2 linked regions of the Oryzias latipes genome follow. The protein of the gene in region 2 interacts with the protein of the main gene of each other region in a pairwise test. Links are inferred from orthologs where the notes say so. Each region holds a gene or a part of one and is shown on either strand. Other genes may lie near its edges.

The links.
Region 1: the proteins of rho GTPase-activating protein 7 (region 2) and rasa1 interact in binary tests that used the Homo sapiens proteins (3 or more experiments, as listed by UniProt). The link is inferred for Oryzias latipes from reciprocal best matches to the Homo sapiens genes DLC1 and RASA1.

Annotation. Positions count from the first base shown.
Region 1 is NC_019867.2:14,730,287-14,734,213, forward strand, and holds the start of rasa1 (ras GTPase-activating protein 1), read left to right. Parts: upstream 1-1,521; 5' UTR 1,522-1,776; intron 1,777-1,896; 5' UTR 1,897-2,227; coding exon 2,228-2,742; intron 2,743-3,927. UniProt on the Homo sapiens protein: Inhibitory regulator of the Ras-cyclic AMP pathway. Stimulates the GTPase of normal but not oncogenic Ras p21; this stimulation may be further increased in the presence of NCK1.
Region 2 is NC_019859.2:13,855,216-13,858,980, reverse strand, and holds the end of rho GTPase-activating protein 7, read left to right. Parts: intron 1-68; coding exon 69-286; intron 287-1,210; coding exon 1,211-1,384; intron 1,385-1,481; coding exon 1,482-1,581; 3' UTR 1,582-3,089; downstream 3,090-3,765. UniProt on the Homo sapiens protein: Functions as a GTPase-activating protein for the small GTPases RHOA, RHOB, RHOC and CDC42, terminating their downstream signaling.

The sequences.
Region 1 (3,927 bases), on a different chromosome or scaffold from region 2:
TATCAACTAATTGTGTCATTACTTTAAGAAAATGTTATTTTCTCTTTGTTGGTTAAATTGTATGTTTTCTTGTTTTATCACCACTGCAATTTATCAAAGGTGTATTAAAAATAACATAACATTTTTATTGTTTGTGGGAAAAAAAGACACTGGTCAAAAATATGAGCATGTTCTGAACAAATGTATAAATTTTAGAGAATGAGAATGAACAAAAACATCTGTAAACGCTATATGTTGCAAAAGGATAATTGTGATTTTTTTTTTTTGAATATGTGTGCATAGTTATAACGTTTGGCAGGCTGAAGTTTTATCACATTGATTGCACAGAGTAACAAAATAAAATCTAATGCTAAACAAATGTTAAAGATGTTACAAATTAATCATTTTATAAATCTATCAATTAGAAAAAAAGAAGCCCTAATGGGACAATATACAATGGAAAAATCATGACTTTAATGCTTTTTTCCCCTTCTTTTTTATGCTTTTGTGTTTATGCGAATAATTATTATATGTTTAATATGTAAAAATGTATGCATAAAAAATAATAATCTTAGGGGTGGCAATTAATATTATTTTCTTCTACCCACTCCTTTTTCAGGGCATTTAGCACTTTCTATTTATCATATGTATCTATTTCCTTTTATTTTGTGTTTGAAAATAAAAGGAAATTAACCAATCAATCCAAACATGAGACCCCTAAAATGAACGTTTAAGGCAGAGGGGGGGCGTTCAAAGCTCTGATAATGTTTGGTATAATGTTCCACCATCTGGAACCCTGAATACAAAAAAAAATCATTGTGAGTATTGATTTTAGAAGCGATTGATATTTCTTAGAGCTCTGCCCTTTTATGAATGTGTTTGAAGAGCTGGTTCCCAGCATGGAGTCTCTCTATTAAACTGGAATTACTAGTTTGAATCTGAATCCTTGAAGCCATGACCGCTCCTAGCAAATAGCAAGTTTACAAAGTAAACTATACTTGCGTATAAGTATAACAGAAAGTATACTATGGACCATGTACTGTAGGAAATATAGGCTTCTAACTTAACACTTTTTCAGACTAAATTGGAACATTAAAAGTCTACACAGTATTAAAATAGTATATAAAAGGTAAACTTTAAATAGATTGTCTCACTTTAAATACAGACTAAATTTTTGCAAAGTCTAGCCGAGACCCTAACTTTTGAGAAAACAGCAGCTGCAAGACAAACACATAAATGAAGCTTAGTTGTTCAAATCAGCACTTAAAGTAATATTTTTTTAAAGAAAAGTGACTCAGGCATGACACTAGATGTAAAAAAAAACAAACTCATTACATTTTAATAGTTGGCATTAAACTTGGGCAGAAACCAACACAATTGTTGTGTCAAAAACGAGGTTCAGTTTGCTGTGATTATTTTGCAAAAGTGTGTATTAAATTGGATTTTAGCAGTGCAGCAGCCCACTCCGTGGGACGATTGAAGATGTCATGGACCGAACATGGCCAGCTCTGCGTTCAATTAGCCGCGCCTGTTCGGGACTGGACGAGAGCGGCAGAGGGAGGGGTGAGCGAACAGCGCAGCAGCGGCGGCGGCCAACAAGCCACCAGCTCCAAGAAAAAGAAATAAACGCCAACTTCGCCTCTGCGTAGGGCAAAACCATACTTTGTGAAGTCCCTTTATTACTACCATGGGAAATACTACCTTCCTGGGGACCTAAACGACAAGGAGTCGTTTATGGACTGGATTTTTAGACGGCTCCGAACTCAGAAGGAAAGAAAACAACACTGGGGAAAACGGGTATTATTACACACTCAACAGTGACAATAAAACATTTTTTCGACAAGTGGTCCGCCTGGTGCCGAGGGTGAGGTTAAAATTGGAAAACGGCGAAACTGTATTTTTTTCTTTTCTTTCTAGGATAAACCGTGGATTTTCTCGGTGGCGTTTCTGTGTGAACTTTAAACTTGGGAAACAATGGAGACAGCGAGCACAAACTCATGAAGTGTCTTGAGGCTGCCAGCCGTCCCGCTAGCGTTAGCTTTACTGTCTTATTGGGTAATGCGTGGTGAGGCTAACGGCCGCTGCAGCTAAGTTAGCTGTCGGCTAACGCTAGCTGGTTAGCCCGGCGCGGTTTTCAGAAACTTTTTGGGTTGTTTCCACGGAGTTCAGACGCTGAATAATTCGTCTGAGGACAGAGGGGAAGGGCGGGTTCCCTTTGGTACTTTCCTCCCTCCACTCACTTTCATACATGATGGCTGCGGAGGTCAGCGGGGAAGAAACCGTCACATCAGGGGTGGCAGGCGGAGGAGGCCCGGAGACGGCCCCTTTCCCCTACTACTCCAAGCCAAGTAGAGTGGGAGTCACCGATCTGGGACAAGGTCCGACACAAACTCTCCGTCAATTTTCAAACACCTCTCCGGACTCAGTCCCCGACATGAGCATAATGTATCCCGCCTCTGCTGGGGACATGCCAGCTTCAGCAACAGGAGGAGGTGGTGGACAGTCAGGTTTTCCTCGAACAAACTCAGGGACCGTGAGCAGCACGTGCCACTCTCCCAATTCGGAGGATTCAACGAGCCAGTTTTCACCCACATATAAAGGCCCAGATAGCCCCACTGCCTTCCCCCCGCTGCCCCCGCCACCCCCAGCCCCAGCAGGCTGCGCTGGGCACGGCGTCACCATGGATGAAAGCGATATGCAGGATGGGCCGGAATGTGAGGACGACGAGGTGCTGCTTGAACTGTCTGCACCACCTACGAACCAGTAAGTGCAGTCCTTTTACTTTTATGTTAAAAGTTATTTTCTGTTGAACCTTCCAGTAGATCTGGTCAGTTCTTCTTATTCTCCAAACAACCATTAGGATAATAATCTTTTATTTCCACCAGGTTAATAAGTAACAAATAACAAAATGTCAATGTTGGCAAACACGTTTTCAGCTTCTTAACATGGCCCCTTAATATAAACTATTCAAATCAATAAACACAGGTGCTTACAAAAGAAATATTGATTTCTTGTTTTGGGGAAATGCAAATTACTTGGGGCAAGGCGCATCAGATTGTTTTGAAACTGGATGCACTTTTACATTTATAATTGTAATGACTTCCCCTCCACACCCACACGAACACACACTGTAACCCATAAATGTCAAAAGATAAGAGATCCTATTGAATCACTGTTATTTTCTTATGTAACCAGACATATGATCATTGACCAGTACCTTAACATTATCAGATTCTTTTTTCCACACGTCCAGTATGTGTTGACATGAGATGTGTATTTATAAGAGGAATGGAGGTCTCTATGAAACTATAATAGTGAATAAAAATAGAACTATTCACATAAGGAAACTGTTTAATAGTTCTAAACGCAGTGAAATGCGTACTGTTTCACCCAAATATCTATAAAGTGTATGATGAAGTAGTTAATGTCAGGTCTGACTCTTTTGTTGCGCTTACTTGAATGTTAGTGGAGTGATCCAAAGAAAGAATAGAGAACTTAAGCAGTTAACCCACAGGACTATTTAAAATCCCTTATCATTTATAATGTTTTGTTTTGCACTGGGTACATCTGCTGAAGTGACTTTCAGTTGCAGATAAACAGAAAACCTCATCCTGTTGCAAAACTTTAGTGCTGGGAAGTCCACAAGTATAAGAATAGCATTAATATTTATTAGAGTAACTAAATGTATGAATCAACATATGAATATCAATCAAAATATATTTGTTTTCATTTTAATTTATTTTTTGGTACAGTCTAAAATTCATGAGTATCCAATATGCAGAGTCTACTGCAGCACAAATTCAAAACATTACAAAGTAGAGGTGGAGAATCTGGCTAATACTTTGTTTAGAGAGATGCCTGGCCACTATGTGAATCCAATTTTAAGTTCTCTATGACTTGGATGGATAGTTAGGCATTTTTTTGTTTCCTCCCAAAAATAAACAAGAA
Region 2 (3,765 bases):
CAAAGTTTAAAAACAGAGTTTTAACTAATAAAGCCTTTAAATTATTCTCCTTGCGCTCTGTTTCTTAGGTTAACGACGGTTTTCCACTGCGGCAGTGGAAAGTGACCGTAGAAATTCATGCCAGTCCTGAGGAGGTTCTGACTCGGGTGCTGCGGGAGCAGGGCCAGTGGGATGAGGATCTGCTTGAAAGCCGAGTCGTGGAAACCCTTGATCAGCGGACAGAAGTCTACCAGTACGTCAGGAACACCATGGCTCCACATCCCACAAGAGACCATGTGGTGCTCAGGTAGACCTTCTCCTCATCTCATCCTGGTCTTTACTTTCTATTTTACATTGTTGTTCAATGTAATGCTACTTTCCAATACATGGTTATGTGACCACTTACAATGAAAGTCTATGTAAACGCATATATATGCACGTTCAAAACTCTCGCATTCACTCAAGTTTTTAAGTCCGTTTATAATAATTACGGTTTGTGCCCAGCTGGAATTGAATCGGTTAGTCCAAAAGGGGCCCAAGTCCAAGAGGTTTGTTTTTCCAGGAAATTATTTTAATTGCATAGCTTAAATGGAGGCTACACCAAATGATTAATACTTTACCCAGATTTAGCACCAGTTCATAGCTTACAAATGCTATAATTTTATAATTTCAGAGGACTAGCAAACTAAAGTCTCTGGACTTGGGCCCTTCTTGAATTAAACAGGGGCGCTGCCATATTGGATGACTAGTGCTGCCATCTATGGGATAAAGCAAAACCAGTGCAAGAGAGGCCCAAGTCCAGGAATTTTACACTTAATGCATTTTAAATGTAAAGCATAGTCAATATATTACAACGGACTTGGGACTTTTTTGCACATAATCAGATAGCTTTTCCCTTGAAGACCATAGAACATATAATATCTCTATTTTGAAAAATTGTGGACTGGGGCCCCTTTTGAATTAACCAATTCAATTCTATGACACCAAGTCTTTCAGATATCTAAATAGAGCTATGAAAGAAAAAGCCTGAAACAAGATTTGTGAGATTTGCACCACTTTATCATTTGGCACCAAGCCTCTTCCAATGCTAGTATTGGGTAGTGGCAGTCCAGTGTGAACACCATATGCTAAATTCACATTCAAGTGCAGGTTCCGCGTTCTTGAGCACGCATCGCATGCGCCTCTGTGCACATTGCATAACACTTTATCCAACCTTTGTGTTGTCCTCCAGGACTTGGGTGACAGATCTGCCGAAGGGAGCGTGTGCACTCGTGAGTTCATCTGTGGACCATGATGGGGCGCCGATGGTAGGCGTCCGGGCCAACGTCCTTACATCACGCTACTTCATAGAGCCTTGCGGGGCCAACAAATCGAGACTTACACACATTTCAAGAGTTGACTGCAGGTGGGCATAATGTTACACTATTTTATAAAACTAGCCTTACAGTGCACTTCGAGTCACTGATTTATTCATCAAACATGCAAATCTTTCTTCTCTCCAGGGGTCGTTTCCCGGAGTGGTACAATAAGCTTTATGGACACTTGTGTGCTGCTGAGGTGGCACGGATTCGGGAATCCTTCTCTGTGCCCATGGACAAATAAGAGAGCAGCACGCCGTTTTGACTGGAATGCCTTGTTTCAACAAAATACAGATGAAGTGAAAGTCTCTTGATCCTTTGATAAACATAAACCAGGATTAAAGGAACTGTTTTCTTCAAAACAGACTGCTTTTCCCTTTAAAACTGGGACTGCCAAGAGGACTAACAGAACTAGCTGGGCCTCGGGACGTTATGTTTCTGACACGGGATGTTTTGCCTCCGACTTAATTTAAAACGGCGTTATCGCTTCTGAGAAGCAAGGGGGATCTCAAGTGGGAGTGAAAGGAGGGACATGGGAAAAGCCAAAAACGTATATCTAAATAAATAAATAAAATTGTATGGGTTGTTGTTGTGGTTCCCCCAGGAACAGAATAATATGTACATATACTGTAGTGTGCTCTGGTCGCGTAGAGCCAGTCGGTGTCCGCTTTGTGTTACCTCCGTCCCCTTCTCTGTTACAGCAAAGCACAGGAAGAAAAGGAGACGTTATTATAGCGAGCTGATAGACAAATCTATGGGTGTCGAAAGATGCGAATGTGCTGGTAGTTTGCAGACTGAGTGAGGCCAATAAACAGGATATCGTGAGATGACAGGTGGCCTATAGTACACAAGGTTTTAGTGTTTCAGTGTGGAGGCAGAGGAGTATTGGTGGCTGGTTCACCAAAATGAAATGACTGATCAAAGAAAGGACATAATTGACTGGAAGACAAATAAAAGGAAAAATCTCTTTCAGCCATGCCTCATCCAATAGTTTGATCGAGGTTGCTTTTGATCAGGAAAATCGGGTTTCAACGTTGAAATACAAAGCCAAAATGCTTAAAAGTTTGAAATCTACAAGAAAATCCTGTTGACATTTAAAGGGCCAAATGAATAAAGGATGAAAAGTTTTTGATATTGATACTGATACCTGTAGAGCACAGCACATTTATTTTACTTAAAAAAGGTAAAAAGAAAAAAGACAAGAAAGGGCAAAAGTTATGATTGCTTTTACATCAAACAAGCACAGAAGACGCAATTATCTGACTTTGAACATTAATTTCTCTCTGCACGGAAAGGTAACCTGAGGAAAAAAGAGGTCCTTTTATAAAGGTGGGGATTTTACAGGTTTTACTGTATAGAGGAGGGCAGATTGAATGTGTAGATTTTTAAAGGAAGGACAAATATTCTGCAAAGATTCTGTGTTTTAAACCAAGATTGAAACATTTCTTTGGCTGTAACAGTTGCGCTTCAGTCTGTTCATGTTACGTGTATCATAAATTCACTAAACCGTTGTTCACATCGTAAATGTTTTTAGCTGTAACTGTGTCTCTGCCAAATAATAATGCATGACAATGACAGTTAATTTAAAGCAAATATATTTATACCTCAGATATATGTTTGTTTTTGTTTTTATATCATTTATTTTATTGTATTGTATACGTAAAACTCTGTGTTACAAAAAGTTTTATCTTTTTTAATAATATTATTTCTGTACAGGTTAATCAAAATGCACTATTAAATGTATTAAACTAACTGTTTTATGTGCTTTTTGCTATGCATATAGGAACCATGCAAGAAAGTTAAGTCTGTCACTATTTTTGTTTTCCTTTTCTAATCCATCATAATTTCTACTGTCACTTGTTTATGATTAACTTTGTTTCAAGTAATTACACCCGCTCTCATTTAATCTGAATGCAGATCTCTCTTCCTGTGACTGTATTTCGGTGTCTCATGACTCCATTCCACACCAGTGGATCTGTTATTGGCCCCGAGGGGTCTGGACGATGGTGATCTCACTCCATATGGTTCATACAAAGGTATTAGAAAGCAGACGGCTCTGCTGTGCCTCAGCCGACCTGGTCGAGACAAGGCAAGGATTCTGAAAAGAAGGGGAGGAGGGCTGTCATGTTTTAAACAAAAGGGGGCTTTGAAGGATCTGAACAGGTTCTGATGTGCCTCTTCATGTTTTCAGTCACTAAGTCACAAAGTGACATGCTGTCATCTTTTTTTCTGGAAAACAGGGTCTGGGGGTTTGCTGCCCTTGTTTTGTAATGCACTGCTCCTCAACAAACAGAAGACTTTTTGCAAACCTTGAACACGTTCTGATTTACTTCCAACATGTTCTGTGACAGCAAAAACAGGTTCTAACATGACTTATAGGTCTTGGCAAAGACAAATCTGTTTTATGATAGCATCATGAAGTACTTGG